Linked DNA regions of Caenorhabditis elegans. The protein of the gene in region 2 interacts with the protein of the main gene of each other region in a pairwise test. Each region holds a gene or a part of one and is shown on either strand. Other genes may lie near its edges.

The links.
Region 1: the proteins of gba-1 (region 2) and F56F10.2 interact in a two-hybrid assay, tested with the Caenorhabditis elegans proteins (one large-scale study listed by BioGRID).
Region 3: the proteins of gba-1 (region 2) and tab-1 interact in a two-hybrid assay, tested with the Caenorhabditis elegans proteins (one large-scale study listed by BioGRID).
Region 4: the proteins of gba-1 (region 2) and lon-2 interact in a two-hybrid assay, tested with the Caenorhabditis elegans proteins (one large-scale study listed by BioGRID).

The regions. Positions count from the first base shown.
Region 1 is NC_003284.9:857,880-862,990, reverse strand, and holds F56F10.2 (F-box domain-containing protein), read right to left. Parts: upstream 3,377-5,111; 5' UTR 3,252-3,376; intron 3,058-3,251; 5' UTR 3,044-3,057; coding exon 2,981-3,043; intron 2,725-2,980; coding exon 2,654-2,724; intron 2,605-2,653; coding exon 2,439-2,604; intron 2,390-2,438; coding exon 2,249-2,389; intron 2,206-2,248; coding exon 2,116-2,205; intron 1,900-2,115; coding exon 1,735-1,899; intron 1,688-1,734; coding exon 1,579-1,687; intron 1,517-1,578; coding exon 1,435-1,516; intron 1,006-1,434; coding exon 856-1,005; intron 725-855; exon of another isoform or gene 657-724; coding exon 560-656; 3' UTR 530-559; downstream 1-529. Other genes in the region: cdo-1 (Cysteine dioxygenase 1), read left to right, coding at 11-162, 268-371, 419-508.
Region 2 is NC_003280.10:2,174,824-2,182,763, reverse strand, and holds gba-1 (Putative glucosylceramidase 1), read right to left. Parts: upstream 6,024-7,940; 5' UTR 5,818-6,023; coding exon 5,763-5,817; intron 5,713-5,762; coding exon 5,630-5,712; intron 5,028-5,629; coding exon 4,922-5,027; intron 4,729-4,921; coding exon 4,576-4,728; intron 4,229-4,575; coding exon 4,095-4,228; intron 4,047-4,094; coding exon 3,974-4,046; intron 3,408-3,973; coding exon 3,311-3,407; intron 3,262-3,310; coding exon 3,021-3,261; intron 2,493-3,020; coding exon 2,361-2,492; intron 2,311-2,360; coding exon 2,224-2,310; intron 2,095-2,223; coding exon 1,931-2,094; intron 1,175-1,930; coding exon 1,048-1,174; intron 999-1,047; coding exon 879-998; 3' UTR 254-878; downstream 1-253. Other genes in the region: gba-2 (Putative glucosylceramidase 2), read left to right, coding at 15-246; C33C12.7 (AMP-binding_C domain-containing protein), read left to right, coding at 7,490-7,492, 7,549-7,641, 7,690-7,799. UniProt on the Caenorhabditis elegans protein: Glucosylceramidase that catalyzes the hydrolysis of glucosylceramides into free ceramides and glucose. C.elegans contains specific sphingoid bases, which are unique or different in structure compared to the sphingoid bases found in other animals.
Region 3 is NC_003280.10:6,801,939-6,805,374, reverse strand, and holds tab-1 (Homeobox domain-containing protein), read right to left. Parts: upstream 1,675-3,436; 5' UTR 1,618-1,674; coding exon 1,498-1,617; intron 1,181-1,497; coding exon 948-1,180; intron 903-947; coding exon 828-902; intron 780-827; coding exon 614-779; 3' UTR 512-613; downstream 1-511. Other genes in the region: F31E8.5 (DUF4091 domain-containing protein), read left to right, coding at 43-174, 221-310.
Region 4 is NC_003284.9:4,746,050-4,750,720, forward strand, and holds the start of lon-2 (LONg), read right to left. Parts: upstream 3,035-4,671; 5' UTR 3,034-3,034; coding exon 2,920-3,033; intron 2,314-2,919; coding exon 2,184-2,313; intron 1,803-2,183; coding exon 1,654-1,802; intron 1,602-1,653; coding exon 1,402-1,601; intron 1,355-1,401; coding exon 1,190-1,354; intron 1,141-1,189; coding exon 1,017-1,140; intron 455-1,016; coding exon 272-454; intron 191-271; coding exon 84-190; intron 1-83.

The DNA.
Region 1 (5,111 bases), on a different chromosome or scaffold from region 2:
CGAAATTTAGTGTTCACGATCATACTGATGCTCATTGCTTTGTGAAAATTCTTGATGGAGAGCTCACTGAGACCAAATATGCCTGGCCAAGAAAACGACACGTGCCACTTGATATTTCAGAAAATAAGACTTATGGAATGAATGGAGTTTCCTATATGAATGGTAAGATATTTGAAAACACTTAATGCATCTGTCTTTTACAACATGGTTGCCTAAACTTGAAAACAATGCTAGGAACATAATAACAACTTCATTGCAATTTTTCAGATGAGCTTGGTCTTCATAGAATGGAAAATTTGAGTCACTCAAACGGAGCTGTCTCTCTTCACTTGTACATCCCTCCATATAGTACTTGCAATGCATTCGATGAGGTTAGTCAATCGGCGAAGGCTTTTAATATTTTTTGAATATATTTCAGAGAACCGGAAAGAAAACGCAATGCACCGTCACATTCTACTCAAAGTACGGCAAGAAAGTTGACTACAGAGGATCTAAGAATGGCAATTAAACAACATATCCCTCAATGTAATAACGTGTTGATTCTTTATTATAATCTTCATTAACAGACAAGTGTCAGCATATGGTTCTTGGAATGTAATTGTTGATTTTTCTTCAGTGTGATATTACGATCCTGTAGAAGTCGGATCACATCCGGTCTGCAAAAAATATAACTGTGATCTTGAAAAATTGTGTGATTTTGTTGCAATGAATTATTTCGGTGGTATTTTTTTAAACTTTTTCAAACCGCGTAAAACAAGGAAGTCTCAAAGAAAATTGAAACAAAAGACACTTCTTGCAAAGTGAAAAGTACTCATTAGAACAATTAAAACCGAAAAAAATGGAGTGTTTACTCACTTGTTGACCGGATAACAATGACTCAACATGATGGTCAAGTCGCTGGTTGAAGTTTGCTCCCAGCTTTGCACAATTTGGGATACAGCTTCACTTGATAGGAAGCATGTGCCTAGATCAATGGTTTCCACTGGAGATCCATTTAGAATTGCGCTGCAAAGTTATAAATTTTGATATCTCGTAAAAAATCTGGTATATTGAATTTTGTGGAAAAATCTGGTCAGGGTCAAAGTTTTCAGTGCATTACAAAGTTTGATCGGTGCGCTAATTTTCTTTATCAGGACATTACAAGTTGTTGGCTAGCACAATAATTGTTTTAAATACCGCATTACCAAAAAACAATTTTAGTTATTTATGAGACTTTGTCCTCAAGTTTATTTTTCAAAGGTGATGATGTGGTCAACGCGTTAAATTTATTGCAAGCTATGAACAAGGTATTTTCAATGCGAAAAATCAAATTGACATCTTCTGTCATTTCTGTCATTTCGATTGTTATGGTCGTTTAGGTAATATGATAAAAGTGATCACTGTGAACATCTAATTTGGTCAAATTTTTCTTTTGCAGAAACATCAAAGACTTACTCGTTGATTCGAATTAGCGTGTCATCCGTCACACCATAATGTGATCCTTTCCCGTTGTTCCACAAACGGAGAGATGTTAAATCTAAATGCATTATTGATTTTTTAAAATGTGTTTTTTGTGAAAAAATATAATTTGCAACTAACTTTTCAGAATTGGCGAGAGAAGACGATCAGTGAGTAGATGTGAAGGGGAACATTCCTCTAGTCCAAAGTCTGTTACAGTATCTGAGTTTTGTTTTACCAGTTCTTCAAACTGAAAATGTTTAAATTTTAAAAAAATTAACTTTAAAATATACAAACCAAAAATATGGAATCAGCTGAAAACTTGCTCCAGATAAAATACATTTGTTGTGGTTGAAGTGTCAAGCTTAAAAGTAACCGTAAAACTGGGCCGGATTCCACCGGAATCAAGCCACGGACAAATAAAGATTGTGTGGTTAAATGGCGCAGCCGGTTTCGGAGAACCTGGAATACGGATTCAAATTTGAAATAGTGAGACTTTTTTAGCAGACGGGTAACTTTTTCTGATGAGTACAGCTATTCATTTCGTGTTTACAAAACAACCTGTTATTACAATATGTTTCAACTTTCAAATTTTAGGATTTTTGGGATAAAATTATGAAATTTTTGCGCAATGCTTGAAAGTTTTCTGAATCCAATACGTACAGACAATTGAATTACCTGTAATGGTGGAAGCGGATGCCTGACTGGACATCTCTTTTCGTCAATTGGATATACCACAACTTCGCCTTCATCGAACAAAATTCTTATCTGGAAAATGTATAATGTTTAAGCTTATAAACTTTAAAAAAACCTGGTCAGTTCTGGTTCTAGCAAGTTCGGACGCATTTTCTCCAATTGTAGCGTTCCATTTCCAGCATACCAATTTACAATTCAACAGGTCATCAATATCCAAATACTTGAATACATCTGCCAGAATGTGGCTTTCAAAATCCTATGAAAAGTTTTAATTATTGGTATTGATATTTTAATTAAAAAAATACCTGAGCAATCGGCTCTACAATTATTTCCTCTTTTTGCACAGCTGGACGATACCACTGCTGTTTCTGTGTGAACAAGTACGGCATGCAATAATGAAGAATTGTTGTGAGCAGCTCGAAAAGTTTGTTCACAAATAAGAAAACCTTGACCGTTGAAGATGAGAATTTTCTGGAATGTGATAATTATTATTGGAACAGAAGGATAAAGGAGAGCTTACTTTTCATCGCTTTTCAAGGCGTTTGGGTCTTTTTCTAGTTCACATATTGAAAGGCGACCGCTGCCGTATGCCTGAAAATTTGACTAGTCTGTGGGAATTAATTGAAAATCCGAAATCTTAAGCGGAGCCTGTTTTTTTTTAATGTTGCTTGCTTCGCCCTTATCTTGACCGTTTATCAAAATATGGTATTTAAAACTCAAATTTCAATTTTTCGAGTGTTTTACGATTATGGATGTTTGTGTCATAAATCTTGGAATGTTATAATATAAATCTCTGATTTGAAAAATTCAAATAATTTGCATATTTTCACTGTTTAGAATGACTTACTCTGAAATTTCCTCCAAATAATCGTTTCGGCTTCCCTTGAGCAGCGACGGTGACGCTTATCATGTAGAAAGCGTTACCTGAATTTAGGAATAAGGATTAATGGGAAAATTGTTTTTTCTATTTTTACATCAGAAAATAAGCGTTTTAATTTTTTGTATTTTTTCTTAACGGGCTGTCAGTAAAATTCCTTTTACAATATAGTTTTTTTTTAACTTCATTAAAAAAAAATTATAAACTCATACTTTTTCCTAGACTTAAAACAAACTCTCACCGTTCCTCCACCGTTTCGGTCTGCTTTGCAGAAAAACTAATTCCCAAAAGAATCTCCAGTCAAACAGCAAAACACGGGAACATTAAAGAGCTGAGCACAAGTGAGCCTCTCTTCGTCAATCGATGCGAAAGAAGCCGGAGAAGCTCCCTTATGTCTGTGTCTCCACTATTCATGCAATCTGTTGCGTTTACATGAGTATTGTGTTACAATTGTGTTGCATTCAAGATTGCGAAAAATGGCAAATTCAAAGGCAGATATCTTGCAATCTTGTGGCAAACAAAAGTTTATTTGGGTTTAATAATGTTGAGCGGAAGGGTTAAAAAAAGAAGTTATATGAAATCATTTGAATTGAACAGGAAACATTTTAAAAAAAGGTCGCATTGAAAAATTTAAAGTTTTTAAAAAAATTATTCATTTTTCCCCAATTTATCAAAAATAAACAAGGTAATTTTCACATTCATTTATAATTTTTTTTGTGGAAAAGTTGACAAATCAAAAATCGCCGATTTCAGGAAAACGCGGAAATGTCAAAACTAGGCCAATCATTCTGCGCTAGAATTTAAATACTAATCCGCCAGATTTTAATTGTGTGTTGTGCAAAATTGAAAACTCAGAAATAATTTAGAGAATTTTATTTGATTTTTTAACAGTTATTTTGGGATATCACAACTCGACTTCACTTCACCTTTTCAGACGAATGGAAATTTAAAAAAATACTACTTTTTTAGAAATTCAATTTCAGTTCTTTGGAATTTACCCTCAAAAATTAGCTGGCTCTATTATTTTTTTTTTTGGAATATTTCAAGCTTTACATTTTGTAGAGTTTTATACATGTAATCATCAAAAATTTGTTTTTCAAAAAAAAAAGTTTTTCCAAAAAAATTATCAGTCATTACGATCACGCCAATCTTTAAGCAATATAACTTATTAACTTCCTAGAAAATTATTGCAGATTGTAGTGTGATGTCACAGATTTCAGAAAAAAAATAGGATAACCAACCATCTTCTAGGCTTTTAGTGACAACTAGGCGAAAATTGAAAATTCTGGCTAGTTATATGTTCATTTATTGAGAAGAAAAAAATCAATAAATATAATTAGACTCATCCCGCAAGAGAATCGTCTAAGCACAAAACAGAGTTTCTCGAATTGTATGGTTTCTGTCCGTTAACTTAAAATTGCACACCAGGAGTTTTATTCCAGATTTGCAGTCATTCCGGTTTTCAGGCCTGAAACAACTTGAGGTACGCTCAAGAAAGAATCGCACAATTGGCGGTGCAAAGCAGGGGTGCGAGGCAATTGCCGGAGTTGCCGAACGTTAAAATGTTTGGCATCCCGCAACTATCGGTTGCCGGTTGCCGCACAGCCCTTGTACAGAGTTTTAAACAGCTGTCATGGCATTCATTTTTTCGGTACCTCTATATGGCAGACCATTATGAAGGAAAACAAGTCACAAATATGCCAATGCAAAGCAACTCTATTTTTATTCGTGTTTCCCTGTTTTTCCCCATCACATCATGTGCTCTATGATGAGCACATCGGTAGCCGGTCATAGTGTTATCAGTACTTGAAAAAAGTTCGTGTTTTTCCCATCAACACGTCCCTTCTCGACAAACGAACCGCTAAAGAGGCGCAATTGGGGAGGAGTGAAGGAGGCAACGACAGTTCCACATTTTGAGAGTCAATTCGTGCATCGGAGGCGTGTTTATTGTTTCGCGAAATCGTCGAAGAAGTGGCGAAGGATGAGGCAAAGGAGATGGTCATTTGTGTTTGCTCATCAGCTTTAGTCACATTGTTTTACGAGACTACCTTGAGGGACGGGAGGGGGGCTCCCGCACTTCCCACCCGGAGAGAGAGGGACT
Region 2 (7,940 bases):
TTTCCAATTTTCAGTCATTTTCTGAAGCCCGGAGCAGTTCGAATCGACCATTCACTGAACATGCCAAACCCAGAAATTGAACGAAGTGCATTTTTGAATCCGGATGGCTCAAAAGTCGTGGTGCTCCATAATAAAAATCCTTTGGCACCATATAGTTTATCAATTAAGGATACTATGAAGTCTACTGATCATTATCAAGTTCATTTATCACCTAAAACAATTGTTACGTTGTATATTCAAAATTAGAATAAAATATCAATTTTTTAAAATTTTATTTTTGAAAAATTTAAAAAATCGTGTTGAAACCTGAACTTTTAGTGTAAAAATTTGAATTATTCATTCAATTTCTGAAATTTTAAGCCCCATATCGACTAGAATCGGTTCACTTTGAAATTTGAGCCCCGCGGCGCGGTCGCATCGCGGTCCAAAACTACTAAAATTTAAAAATTGTTTAATACATGCCAATATGGGTGTTAAATGGATGGAAATTTTTAGAAAAATTCGAAAACATGCATAAAAAAGTTTAAAACTATAGGTAAGATGAGTTTTCGATTTTCGACCGCGACGCGACCGCGCCGCTTTCAAAAATTTAAGTTTTATATTGCCTCAAATCATAGCATTGCAGGTGTCAAAGTGATGCAAAATAGCTTGAAACTTAAATTATTCGAACAGACATCCTCTAAAAACGTGGAAAACTTTTTATCTAGCGACTTTTTAGTCTGGACCGCGACGCGACCGCGCCGCGTCCCAAAAACCACCAAAATTTCAAACTGCTTCAAAACATGTCAATATGGGGGTCAAATTGACGCAAATTTTATGAAAAATCCAACAATCAACATGAAAACTTATTTAATAAGCAATTTTTGTCGAAAAATCCACTAAAACTGTGAAGTTTGAATATACAAAGTGGTAATAGCTCGATGTGGAAGTGTAAAATGATAGTGATTACGGCTATCAGCAGCATCCTGGACAACTACTGTGTGCTCCGTTGAGACTAGCTGAAAATTTAGAAATTTTCGGCTGAAAAGTTGGACTTTCAGCACAAACCGAGCCCTTATTGAGCATTACAATAACTTTTGAGCCATCAGGATTCAAAAATGCGGTGGTTTCAACTTCCAGCTCAATTACATTTAATGAGTGGTCGATTCTTACTGCTCCAGGCTTGATGAAGTGACTGAAAATTAGTTATTGCGAAATCCAGTGTTTTCGTGAATTTTTAGATGGTAGAAATTTTTTCTGAAAATTTACAGTTTGAAATTCAAATTCTCCGTACTTCAATTAGTCTGATTCTGAATTTTTAGCTCAAGTTTCGAAAATTGCGCCAAGTTCGGTGTTTTGGGGTACCGTAGTCGGTGTTTGCGTACTTTTGGAGCTACAGTAACCCGGGAATTTTCAAAATTGAGCTAGAAAGATCTAGTTTTTGAGACTCAATCTAAAATTTTGCAGGAAACTCGTATTTGAGCTCAAAAACTCAAAAAATTTCAGAATTTCATCGATATTCAGATGTTTTTGTCGTTTTGGTTAGGTTCCAAAACAATTCTCAGCATTTTTAATATCAAATTCAAATTCTCCACTATTTTCTTAGTATATCTGTGAATTTTTAGTTCAAAATTCGAAAATTGCGTGAAATGCGGTGTTTTGGGGTACTGTAGTCGGTGTTTGCGTACTTTTGGAGCTACAGTAACCCTCGAAATCTCAAAATCGAGCTAGAAACTTCTAGTTTTTGATTTCAAAACTAAAATTATACGAGAAATTCGAATTTCTGTTTGAAAACTTGGAAAATTGCGTGTTAAGCTGCTTTTCAGACAGTTTTAGAAAATTTTCAACAAAAATTTCCCAAAAAATTTCAATTTTTATATTTTCTAGATCCAATTTTAACGACAAATTCTAATATTTTAGTTATTTCATGCAGAAACTAATAGAAACCTACCTAAAATGTGCAATCGCATAAAACATGGGCTGCTTGTAGAATTGAGCCATCGCTGGGAACGCAATGACCGGCGCATCTGTGTAGTCGGACACCCATGATGGACCACCCAGGGCGTCTAGGATTAGGTTACGTTCTGTCCAGCCAGTCATCCAGTTGTTCATGTTCTGGAAAAAAATGTAGAAAAAAAAATTATGAAAAAAAAAATTTGAAAAAAAAATTAAAATTTTGAAATTTTTTTTCCGAACTTTTCCCCAATTTTCTAGAAATTTCTTCAAAACTATATTTTCTCTTACATCTAAAATATCTGAAGCAGTATCTGCTGCACGATCCCAATTTCCATAATCCACGTGGGTGTCCTTGGACCCGTAGCCTTCGGAAGCCTGAAATTTTGGGCCTAAATTTATTTTTCTGCCTAAAAACTAAAATTTACCTCAGTGCCTAAAATAAAAAAATTTGGATGTTTTTTGTGAGTCTCATCCAAGTGATTATCAGTTTCTCCGTCTTGATATGCGTGAACCCCGATACCGCCCACGTACTTTGCGGCGTCCATGTCGTTTAGAACCTGGAAATTGAGAATTTTGAGTATGAAATTCGAACTCTCCGTAAAATTTGCAAAATTTTAAGCCCCATATCGACTTTATTCGGATAAGTTTGAAATTTAGGGCTTGCGGCGCGGTCGCGTCGCGGTCAGGTTTTCATAAACTTGTTTTAACGTAGCCTTGGGCTTTCAAAACATGAAAATTTGAATTTTTCGTGAAATTTGCTGAAATTTGACACCCATATCGGCTATATTCGGACAAGTTTGAAATTTGTGGCATGCGGTGCGGTTGCGTCGCGGTAAAAATTCTACCAATTTTTGAAAACGCTCGAAATTGTTGTTAAAAACAATTGGTTGCTGCAAAATTATTATCTATAATGTCTTGGAAGCGTACCAGACGTCACAGTTCGCCCCAGCTCGATATGAAAAAATTTGACCGCGACGCGACCGCACCGCAAGTCCAAAATTTCAAAATGATCCAAAATAGGTCAATATGGGTGTCAAAACTTTGCAAATTGTACGGAGATTCCAAATTTGACAACATTAACTTACAGTATCTGCCCATTTCGGCAAGTTTCCTCGATTATCGTCCAGAATCAGAAGTTTCACATCTTTTCCAGAACTTGAAGCAGCCAGGGCTGGTCCCAAGTCAGTTTTTATGAAATCTCGTTGTGTTTCAGCTGTGAAAAGTGTCGATTGTATTTTATTCTTCTTATCGGAGCCTAATGTTGGCTGGTTTTGAGTTGAAAGTCCCCAGAATGAGATTCCAGATTTTCCGTACTCCTCGAGGAATCTGAAATTCGAAAAAAAACTCTGATATAGTCTGAAAATAGTTGAATTACCTGACAAAATATTTGGCGTATGCCTGATGATAGTTATCCCCAGCTTTTCCGTTAAGAGCCCCAGGTCCTGTCATTTCTTTAGTAGTCTTAAGCCATCCTGAAATTATTGAAACAATTTTTTTCTTAGGAAAAACAGACAATTTTCGAGCGTTGGCATTTAAATTTCCGAATTAAGCGCAAAATTTTCGTTAATTTGACACCAATCTCGACTATAATCGGACAACTTTGAAAATTAGGCAGATGCGTTGCGGTCGCGTCGCGGTCGAATTTTCAAAAGTGTGTTTAGAAGCGATTATGTGATTTGCAGCTAAATTTTTTGAATTCTCCGTAAAATTCGCGGAATTTTGATATATTGACTATATTTGGAAAAGTTTTAAATTTAGGATATGCGGTGCGGCCGCGTCGCGGTCCGGAATTAGAATTTCGAAATTTGTACCAAAAGTGCGCCAAACTTGTGTTTAATCTAACACAGAAAAATTTAAATACTGCCAAACAGCAGGAAACCCTGATTTTTAATCAGTTAACGCTCCACTTTATTTTCTGGGCCGCGACGCGACCGCGCCGCATGGCCAAAAATTCAACTTGCACCGAATATAGTCAATATGGGGCTTAAAACTCAGCAAATTTTGTGCTAAATTCAAAAATCTTAGTGAGAAACATTACCTGGTGCTGCCCACGGAGCTGCAAATAACTTCAAGTTCGGATTGTACTTCTGCGCGTTTTTGATGTATGGGATCTAAAAATTTTTAAGAGTAAATTTAAAGTTGCGTTGAAATAAACTCACTTTCCACTGGAAATCTTCCTTAGTCAAATTAAAATTCTGCATTGAATAATCATTTGCGACATCGTTATAACTGTAAACTCGACCCGAAAAATCTGTGCTGGCTATTGGAACTCTACCGAATTGGAGGTTAAGTCCTGGAAAAAAATTCAATGGAGCGCACTTGCAATACTGAAAGTTGTAGAATTTGAAATTTCCTAGCGAATGACATATACTTAATTTGAAAATTGTTTGATGTTGCAAGTGCGCTCCACTGAACTTTTGGAATAACTTTCTTCAAATCGGTTCTAGAGAGTTGGGGTAAGAGAGAAAACTGTAGAGAAAATTGTGATCTATCAATTGCAATTAATTTCAAAATTTAATTTCCAAATTTGCAACTGCGCTCTACTGAACTATCGACGTAACTTTTTTCTCAGTGGTCCTAAAAACCTAAACTTTTTTGCAATTGGCCAGTTTCAGCTTAAGCTGTTTAAAAAATGCTAACCTGTATCCGAAAAATATTGTTTCATAATCAAATCCGACAATTTGTCCGGCAAACTCTTCAGGTTTGCACCAGAAGCATCGGAAAATGTGGAGCCAAATCCTTGGATCGTCTGGTATTTTTTGGAGGAGTCAATTGTCATGTGCAGGGTTCCGACTGAAAATTTTAGGGTTTTCAATTCAAAAATTAGAATTTTTGTAAAAAATTAGTAAAGGAACATTTTTTTAGGTACAAGGAAAATTTATTTTAAGAACAAAAAAAAATTCAAAAACTAAAAAATTTCAAAAATATTTTTTAAGCTTCGAAAATTTTTTTCAAACTTGTTTCAGCTGAAAATTCCACAACTCACATGGCTCAGTATCCGTCGCATAGATGACATCCCTGTGGAGCCGGGCGCCGGTATGGGAGGTGGTGTAGAGTGCCGCCTGACCCATAGTGATGTCCAGAGGTGGAATCTGGAATTTTTATACAATTTTTTGAATTTTTCGTGAAATTTTGGTTCAGGAAAGTGTCGGATTTGGCTTAAAGTAACAATTAAAATTAAAAAAAAGGGAAAAAATTTTCTTTTGGAAAATTACCTTTTTTTATTTTTTGAAAATTTTAGATTAAAAAAAAGCGACTGGTTAAAATGCATTTTCATGGGGATTTTCGAGTTTCCCGTGAAATTTCCTTTGATTTGACACCCATATTGGCTATATTCAGACAAAAACTGAATTTTGGTCATGCGTCGCGGCTGCGTCGCGGTCAAACTTTATAGACCCCCTTTAACCAGTTTTAAAGATTCTTTTTGGATAATCTCAATCAATTTTACTTAGTTTCTAAAAATCCTTGCTTGATTCATTGGTTTCTACAAGAATTCTAAAATTTTCAAGTCCGACCGCGACGCGACCGCGCCGCAGGGGAAACTAATTCAAATTTCAAATTTTATGAAATATGGCCGATATTGGTGTTAAATCAACGGTAATTGCGAGGAGAATTCAAAAATTTATATGAAATTTTCATAACAATTTTGGTTTTCAATTTTTTTTCCAAAAATGTTTTTTTTTTCAAATCTCACCTCATCGCAAGAATCGAGACTACAAACGCATACTGTTCCGGTTTTAAATGTTTTTTCCGTACAATCAGCTGCCCGGACACTATCTGAAAAGCGGGATTTCGGAGTGTCGTAGTTCTTGAAAAATTCGACCTACCAACTCCAAAAACCGCTAAAAATATGAAGATTTTCAATAAAAATCGTGACTTCATTTTGTGAAAAAATGGCACAAAATGACGACTAAAGTCTCGTAGTTTTGGCGTTTTTATGAAGTTTATCAGTGTTTCTTATCAGTACCCGGTTCATAGAACACGTGGTGGAATTTACGGAAATTGTGACGATAGTTTTGGAACATAGAACAAAATATGATTATAATTAGGTAAAATTTTTGATGTCAAAAGTTTTTTTGCAAGAAAAATCTGAGTGCAAAGCGAGATTTTGTACAATTTCAAGTTCAAATTCGAGTTGCTCACAAAATTCCAGGCAGGACCCCTGAAATTAGAGCTTTCTAGCTCAATTGTGAAAATTCAGGGGTTACGGTAGCGCCAAAAGTACGCAAACACCAAATTTCACGCGATTTTTGAAATTTGAGCTGAAATTTTTATTGTAGACTAAGAAAAACACGGAGAATCCAAATTACATATTTAAAAATCTGAGCAATTTTCTTAAAAATCAGAAATTTGGCTGAAATTCTACAATTTTGAATTTTCACTCAAAAAACCCGAAAACTATTGATTTTTCAGGGGAAAAAACCAAAAAGCATGAGAAGTGAGCCCAGTAACCATTAAATTCCAAAAATTACAATTCGAGGGTTACGGTAGCGCCAAAAATACGCAAACACCGCCAAAACATTGAATTTTACGCTCACGGACCGACAAGTGGTACATCCATGCAAACGCGCTCTACTGATAATTTGAGTGTAGACCAGGTTTGGGCGCGTGATAACGAAAAAAGCTTTGGTCCAAAAAATTTAGAATTTAATTTCGGACATTTTTTATATGCATCACAAAAAAACTGGACCAACCGTTTTTGAGATACTTGCGCCCAAACTTCCAGGTATACGGTAGACAAATTGCGTACAGGTACCACTTCTCGGGCCGTGACGCTGAGATTTGGGTCGTAGAGGAAAATTACTATAATTTCAAATTAAATGCTTAAAACTTTTTGAAAAACTTGTCGGAAGTCATAAAATCCAATAATTTTGAAAAAATTGCACTATTAAAACTGGAAAACTGGATGCAAATTTCTCCAATTTGATGGCCTTCGAAATTTGAGCCGCGACGCGACCGCAACGCAGCTTGAAAATTATGTCCTTCTGGTCTTCTTTTTCGCGCTCCATTGATAATCGCCGCCGGATAACACGTGGGAAAGTCGTGGGAAGCCAAGCCGCGACGCGGCACACAACGCGCCGTAAATTTACCCCGGCAGTGGCTGAGTCAAGCTGGCCTAATTCGGCAAACTCTTACATTTCAAAATATGAAGAAAATTCACGCATATTTTATTTTCTAATGGAATTTTTTAAAATAAATTTTGATTCATAAGCGTGAAACTTTAAATTAAAAAAAAAAAATTTGAATTTCCAAAATTCGAAAAACAGATCAGTTTCCCGTGACCCCATAAAATCCCTGCCACCTCACCAAAAAACCCCACTATATAAGAAGCGATTTCCCTCCGAAACAATCAGTTCAAACTATCAAAATGAACACCATCGTCTGCCTGGTTGGAGTTTTCCTTCTGGTTTCCGGTAAGTTTTTTGTTTTTTTTTTGTTCAGGCTTGTTTTCCTAAACAAGAATAATTTACAGCTCCATGTGCGTATTCGAAGAAGATGGCGAATACTGACCTTCTTGAAAAAGCCAACGAAATTTTTCAAAAAGAGTTTAAGGATGGTAAATTGATGAGTGAAGGGGAAAATAGTTTCTAAACCTCAGCCTTATTTTTTAAGGTGTTCGACGAGAAGTTGGTGCATATTGCAATGGAGACTGCATGTGGTAAGCCTCCCAAAGATATGGGCATCATCACTCTTGGGGATGGATATGTAAGTTGAATTATATTTTCTAATTTTATATTTATACTATTTTTTCAGGAAGCCTCGGAAAACATTGCGGCACATCATGACCGAGTAGCTTGTATTGAGAAAATATGCGAGAGCAAGAAAGCTACAACTAGCATCTTGTGTGTTGTTGCCGCATCAAAGTGAGATTTTTATTTTTTTCCCCGCTTTTTTAGTTTCAAACGAAGATTTTCTGGCTTTTCTCATATTCTAGGCCATGTTGGCTCGGCCACAGCTCGCGTCGCGTGTCGCGTCGCGGCGTTTTCCATTGCCAATGGAGCGCG
Region 3 (3,436 bases), 4.6 Mb from region 2:
TTTTTAAAATCAAATATAAATCTTCAATTTCATAGTTTTTAGGTTGACATGGTGTTCGGAGAAATGCAAGGAAATCCAATCTATCAGGATCAATTCAAGCTTCCAGTTACAGAGAGCACATCATTCAATATTCATGTTATCAAGGCACCTGGTTGTGATATTGAAATGGATACGGTAACAAACGTTTTGTTTTATTCAAGCTTAACTTAAAAATCTTCAGCGTACTTTGTTGTGGAATGACTACAATGCTGCAGTTCCAACTAATATGTGGGAAATCGGAAAATGTACATTCAACTTCTTCGATGAATAAGTGTCCTATTGTATTATGATTTGGAATAAAATAATTTAACAACCATTTTTCAAAGTTTCGTTTTTTTGAGGACTGATGGGCAATTGGCAAATCAAAAAGTTCAAAATTGAATTATAAGATGTGAGATAAATATAATTAAAGTAATACCCCATGACTTATTCCTCATAATCATAAATATAAGTTGGTAATAAAATATCTGTTAGAAATTTGACTTTATTTGGACATGCAATAATATAATACATCAATATTCTTTAAATAAATATTCATAGAGAAAAGACAATCTACCGGTAAATATATATATACTTATTCGCTCTCATTATCATTTCCATTGTCGTCATCCACACTATTATCATCTTTTCTGACAACTTTCTTGTGCTTCATTCGTCGGTTTTGAAACCATGTTTTAACTTGAGTTTCACTCAAATTGAGAGCATTTGCCAATTCAATTCTCTCAGGAGTACTCAGATATCTGAAAGTCTGATTTAGAATACTAAACTCGGAATGCATTTTTGGTCACCTTTGGGATTCAAATCTTCGTTCCAATCCTTGTAGTTGCTGATCACTGAACACTGTTCTTGCTTTTCTTCGCGAACTGAAAACAGAAGAATAATTATATTTGATAAATTTCAATCATTACCATTCCAACCTCAATCTTCTATACGCTTTAGTTGCATTTGACAATCGAATCTGATCAGCTGTTGACCAGAATCCAGGAAAAACTCCATTTCGTTGAGCCAACAAGAGACTATGTTCTATTGGAAACGCTGCTGCTGCAAGCCAAAGCTGATCAGAAAGAGCAGGAGTGATTGTGGGAGTTAATTCATTTGTCAATGGAACTGACATTACGGATATCGATGATTTTTCTGATCCCTGGAAGTAAACCGATAGAGTAATTTTTGATGATCAAATTTACATATTTTATTGAAATATTACTTGTTGAATTTAAGTAATTGTGAAAGAACAAGCATCACATCAAGGAAACAAAATATTTTTTAATGAAGTTGCGACTTATTTTGAATCAATTTTAAAGAAATCATTGACCAAAGGCCAAAAAAAACGGAAAAATTATATTTAAATTCAATTTTGATAATTGAGCGAAATACATTCCTGATATGTTTGTTTAAATATTTGCAGAGTGCCTATGGTGACTACAAAACCCAAACGAGAAAAATAGTTTAAGAACATACCTCATCTGAACTTGATTGGGGAGTGGGCGATGTTTGATCAAGCTTCAGAATTCTTTGAATTTCGTTTGAATGCCCACGAAGAAGATCATCAATTGAAAAACTTGATACAGGAGTTATCATTTTCAAATAAGTTTGAAGATTATTTTACGGGAGGTAAGATTCTCGTGTAAATGAGCTAACACGGTAATATGGTGCTCCCATAGGAGCACAATGGGTGGAGCTTCAGACGGCATCGGAAGGGGGCGGAGTCGGCGAATAGAGATGAAGGTCCCGTGAAAGACGACAAGGAGAAGAAGAAAAAAGAGTTGATGAGAGGGATAATGATTGTGAATGACAGTATTGCCGTAGGCAATATTGTAGGCGGTTGATGAAAGAATAAACAACCACTTAAGTGACGATGAGCAAAATATGGAAATTGATTGTCTCGTAATGTTCAGTACTAGAATAAAATATTGAAACTAATCAGTTGTGTCATTTTCGATCAGTCGTGTATTATGATGACGTGTTCATTTTTTGTATATGGTCTGGAGTCTTCTTTTCTTGCCAGTTTTGATGATCTGGAATAGTATATCTAGCATATAGGTGAAATTAAAATTCCAATAAAAACAAAACGTAATTTACATAATGTTTTCAAACCTCAAATATCTCATCAAGAAATTGGAAAAGCTTAGCAATCAACTCAATTTCTGAAAATTTTCAAATGGTCTACAAAAGATTCTTGGCCAAATACTCTAGAAGTATTAACTTGATTGACAAAATAATTTTGATTTTGCAAACTCTTCAAATTCACTAACGATGTAAGTCTTGTACTTATTCTTAAAATTTTGTACTTATTCAGGCATGCCTACTACGCACCTTTCAGTACTTTTGTGGTAGACAAAGGCCACAGGCAGTGTTTGTGCCTACATGAAAAGCCTACTTACAGCCGTTTTCCACTTTTGGCACAATTCGACCTCTCATGCTCATCATCTCCCTCTAATTACGTGTTTATGTTACAATACAATGCGATTGAGCCAGTACAATAACAATAACAAGTGTGAACGTGTTGAGAGCGACACGCGTCTAGTAATAGTCATTGTGCAACTGAGCAATTTGAACCTTTCCACAGATGTTCACCACTTCCCCAACAACTTGTGCATTTTTTGTGCATATCACTGTACCCCTTCAAACGTTTTAAAGCTTGGAGAGAAAATAGGGAAAGACGACTGGCTGACCTGACTAAACGAAGAAATTGAGCATCGAGTAACGAAGACTATTATTGCATTATAGACGGCAGAAGCGCTAGAAGGCTTTTAACTTATTATGTTGAGTAGACATACTCACACAAACTTATTAGCAACAAGAGGAGTAAGACCTGCTGTGCAAAATATTGTTGCCACGTCATCAAATACAAGACAAAGAATATTAAGAAAAGTTCCTTCCGTTTACATGTCACACTTAATTATAACTGGCTCTATGGGTACTTTGAACATTTGACACCTCATGACTTGCTCTATTGTTTCTTGAGTCACCGCAAAAAGGTGTCCTGTGGTGAGCTCCAATGTAACATAGTTCCAGAAGAATTACTTCATCATCACTCCTCCCTCATACTCGTGGTGTTAATACAAAAACTTATGCATATGCAATACAGCAATTATTCCCAATTAGTTAGCGGATTTCACTACCGTAGAAGAAGTAGTCGTTGTATTGAAGCTTCTATTTCATCACAATTGGCATGCTGTTTTGTCGGTATATAGCTCATCATTGAAAACGCGCTCATTATTCTTACGAAAATCTGTGTGATTTTAGTGGAAAACAAGATTTGATGAGAAGATGTTTTGCAAATTAGTGAGAAGAGAATTCTGCAATTAATGAAGGATTTTAAGCAAAGGAGATTTTTCAGAAAGTAGAAGAAAATAGTTATTAAACATTTGAAAAATTCAGATTCAAATTTTCAAAA
Region 4 (4,671 bases), on a different chromosome or scaffold from region 2:
ACCCGCATGTTTGCACACACCAAGACCATGCACTCCCTTTATCCCAACAGCTGCATGTGTTGTGTTACAAAAACAGTACTTACGAAATGACTTTTGTACCATCATAACACATTGTCGGATTCAGAACAACTCCCGAGTGATCACAGATTTTCCTTCCGAGTCGGTCCCACGTTTTTGCAGAAAGTTGAAGCTGTAAAAATTGAATGATGATTGTTATCATTATGCAATTGGTGCGCGATGCACAAAGAGCACGCCGACAACAGAAACTGACCTCTCTCACGGCTCCGTCTCCTCGGGAAACGAACGGTCCTGGCGACTGAAAGTGAACAGAGTGCTTTGATGGATGAATGATCATCTCGCCAAGCGGACCGCACGAGTTGAACACGTGCTCCGCGTAGACATATGACTTGCGTTCGATGAAAATTCGAATTACAGAGAAGATGGTTTTCTTGAGCTGCAAGAATAGATAAAATCATGAGGAAAGGGGTCGGATAAAATAAAAACGTGATTATTTGAAACAAGATGTCATTATAGTAATGATTAATGATGTTCAGAAAATTCAAAAACTGAAATAAATAATATATAAATAATTTATTGCAAAATTCAAATTGTCTCGTTATGTTTTTTCTTCAAAAAATGATTTTTATTCGAGCAGATATTTAAATAAGATATAAGATATTTGCTAATATAGTTTTTTTTATTTGAACAAAAGAATTTACAATTATGAATTACAATTTGGGTTGATTTTATTTTTTTAATTTTAAAGATGTGGTATCGTCAGTGGAAGAGTTGCTTGAAACTGAATACAGTGCTAAAATGTACAAATATCATTCTAAAAATTTTGAAAAAGTATTGACAATTCCGATGTCAACTATCATAATTTTAGATGTCGGCCACAAAACATTTTTTTAAATAACATTTTAAATATTTTTATCTAAATATACGCTTCTTCATATCATTTCTTAAAAATGTTTTTGTCACACTTTTAGAAAATTAAACAATAATTAAAAACTTACTGATAAAAACTCATCCAAAAAAGACTTCTTCGTACTCGTCATATTCCTCATCAGATGCAATTTGGCTGCCCACTCTCGAGAAAATTTCCCAAAGCATTTTTCCATTGAGTTTGAACAAGAAGTGCTAAAGAAAACATCAAAGTAAGATTATTTCAATTAAAATGTTATCTTACTGGCAAGGTGTGATTCCAGCCATTGTGCAATTGCATGGCAATGTATGCACGTATTCTTGAAGACACTCATGGGAAAGTGTTAAATTGTGAGCGTTCATAAGTTGCTTGTGCATGTCAACGAGTAGAAATTCAACCTTTCGATACCGGTATATGGCTTCAGAAATTCTAAATGTAAAAACATGAAACTTTATTTTAAACAATTCAAATCTTACGTCATAGCCATTTTATTAGGAGTATTCCCTAAATAGACCGACCAGTGTTTTGTACTAGCCATCATACAATTGTGATAGTCCAATGGAACTGTTCGACACTTTCCCACTGACAAACAGAGGAACATATCAGGAAGAATTGCACTCAAGAACTTTTGCACCGCAGTAGAGACTTCATACTTGATTCCAGTCAAGGAAATCGCCTACAAAGGAGAAGATATACCTAGATTATTTGTATTACTATCTGTTTCTTACGTTTTCTGTCGTTAAAATATTCCTGAACGTTCCAATCATCTCATCGAATGAGTTTAAAAAGTCGGTGTAGTTCAAAAGTAATGGGTACGTGGACCGAACTTCTCGTAATGTGACAAATCGTATAAAATCTAGTAGATGCTTCTTTTCGCCTGCAAAATGGAAAAAAAATAATTTCTCACTACTATTTTCGGAAGAAGTAATGTTATACATTAATAGAAATTTAAAAATTTTTTGAAATTTTTCAAACTGTTCGGTCAAAGTTTTGGTATGTTGCCAAATTATTCAAAACAATTGTTTTTGACCGTTTTAGCAGGCCAAAGATACCGAACGCTCAACTTTTAGTTTAATCTGCCCTTTGTTTGAACCCCTAGAGGGTTTTAATTTAAGTAAATTTAAGTAAACCACACTTTAAATCTCGTAGTAAATTATTGTTGGTACACTTCCAGCAAACTTTGTTACTGTAAATTTAAAAAAATTACAAAAACGTTTTTCTATGATCCCCCCCCCCCTCCCAAATATTTTTAACTCACCTGTCGTAAAAGCAATTGCATCGCGAAATGGTTCTACTAGCCTCACTTGCATGTTTTTCACTTCCACAGTGAGGGTATAGTTTCCCTTTTGTATCAAGTCATCTGTATTGCAGTCGCATGTATATTCTTCCTAAAAATTTAAAATATTGAATATTATTCCAAAAATTCTCAACTCTCTCTTTTTAGTTACTCAACCATAAATCTAATATAATCAGCGAATTGAAACTGTTTTCGCTTTATACCATTTCTGATTTTTCAACACCTGTCATCTTAAATACTACTAAATCAAAATGAATTTCCTTTATTTTCGGCTGTGGTCATCGTTAATTATCACACATATATTTCACCACTGCCAGTTATCAATCAACTTACGGAAGCGATCGAAAAAGAAGCCGCGTGTGTAATTGAAATTTACGACTTTCCAAAAATGGCATGACAAAAAGATTTATGTTTTTTTTGTTTTGGTTCCAAGTGTTTTACCACAGTTCCAACTCTAGATACAGTATCTTATCGAAAACGTTTTTTGTCCTATCAAATTGTTGATGTTTATGTTTCTCATGTTACCTAACAAATTTCAAAGTGTCAAAACTGAATGTGAGATGACTCAACAGATAGAAAGGGTCCGCCTGCTTAGATAAACTCTGTTGATAAATGTCGGTCATTAGCTGACATAGATTTATATTTCGGCATGTTGGAGATTGAGGACGGATAGAAAAACGAGGAAGATAAAACTCACTGTGGGTTCTTCAAGACTTGTAGAGTTGGTGAGAATATCGACAACCACCACTTCTTCTGCAGGTAGGACGGACCGGTAGAGCAATACAAAAAGAATGAGCCACCGGAAGACCATTCTGAAATTTTGAATATGTAAGCGAACACCTCAAGTGTGAAAAATGAAGACAGGTGAGTCGTTAAGTTAAGCAAGAGAAATTGCAAAGTTGCTGCAAAAATATAAAAGAAATTCCGCAAAAAAATAGTGTTCAAGGTTGGAGAGACGGTGTGAGTGTGTAGAAGCGTTTGATCGACAAATAAAGTTATCAGCAAGTACGGAGCACAAGTTATGTCATAGTCTGTATCTATCTGTTTCCCCCCATCACTTGTCGCTCTCTGAACAACTGATTGCAAGATGGGGAGGAATCGAAAAAATGAAGGGCTCACCGGATGGAAGAAGTGGGCGGTCACCGAAGAGGAATAGGTGGCGGGGTGGATAAAGACCTCGGGGTGCGAGAACGTGACAATCAGTTTGCCATTTTTGAAGAGAGAGGGTGACAATGTGTTGCACAAGAGGTGGAGGAAGAACGCATTGGTGAGAAAAGTGAAATTTGCGGTGAGACAGCGATCTAACAAACTATGGGAATATGGAAAATTAAACTTTTTGTTTTTGAAATATCTTTTATTGTTTGTTTCTTAGTTTTGCACCCAACTACTCCATTTTTAAGAGTTCGTTTCTAGGTTAGCTGGCAAATTGTTTTTATTTGTTATTTTGTAGTTTTGCAGTGCTATCGGTGAAAATAACCAGGTTGTCAATTAGACTAATGGTGTGCAAAACTGAAAGATTGAATGTATTGAAAGTGGTAATTTTTCAAAATACAGTAATAATAGTCCAGCATTAAAAAATATCAGAGATTAAGAAATCAAAATGTGACAGAAGGATGCGGGCGAGGAGATTTTAGATTATTAGGCAGAATACGGCCAGAACTATTGTGTATGTAGGCTTATAAAACATTGACCATTATATTTTTGATTGGATTCAGAAAATAATGGATAAAAACGGTATAAACTGGGAAGAACTTAATACTTTTTTTGAAGTTACGCAAAAATTTGATGATCGGCTGATGGCTTAATGCCACTCAAAGTTCGTAAAAAGCTGTCTGGAAACTTCTACTTGGATCAAACAATTATTGTTTTTCCCGCAATACCTAACAATTTTGATAACGTTAAATCGTAACGTTTCACGCCCACCGACCCTTACCGAGCCTAGACACCACACCTAAGTTGTAAAACAATGGAATGTGGTAGGTGAGAATTTGGAGGAGAAAAACTAAGCGAACAAGAACAAAAAAATGAAACGATGGTTAGTGCACAGCTGGTGAACACACGGGAGATTGATCGCCTTGGCAGGGCGAACATTTCAGGAAAATGAGAAATGTCTCTACTCATTGAACACGAGACTCTCGCTTCCGCTTTTCTATTTGACAAGTTCAATTTCGAAAATTTTTTGACTGTCACAAGGTCAATGAAAAGATGTGCCGGTTGAAAATTTGATGTACTTTTGTTTTCATTCTGAGGTCAAGTTATTAAGTGAGCAATATACATTATCCTCAATACTTTACAGACGTGCATTTTTCCAGCGCTTAGAATGGAACCATTTCTCCTTTAAAAAAAACGATGTGATCCAAAAACTGAATGAGCCACTATTAAAATATAGTCTCTCTACATTCGAATAAAGTTTTTACAAATTATTGGAGCAGTCGAGAGCAATATATTA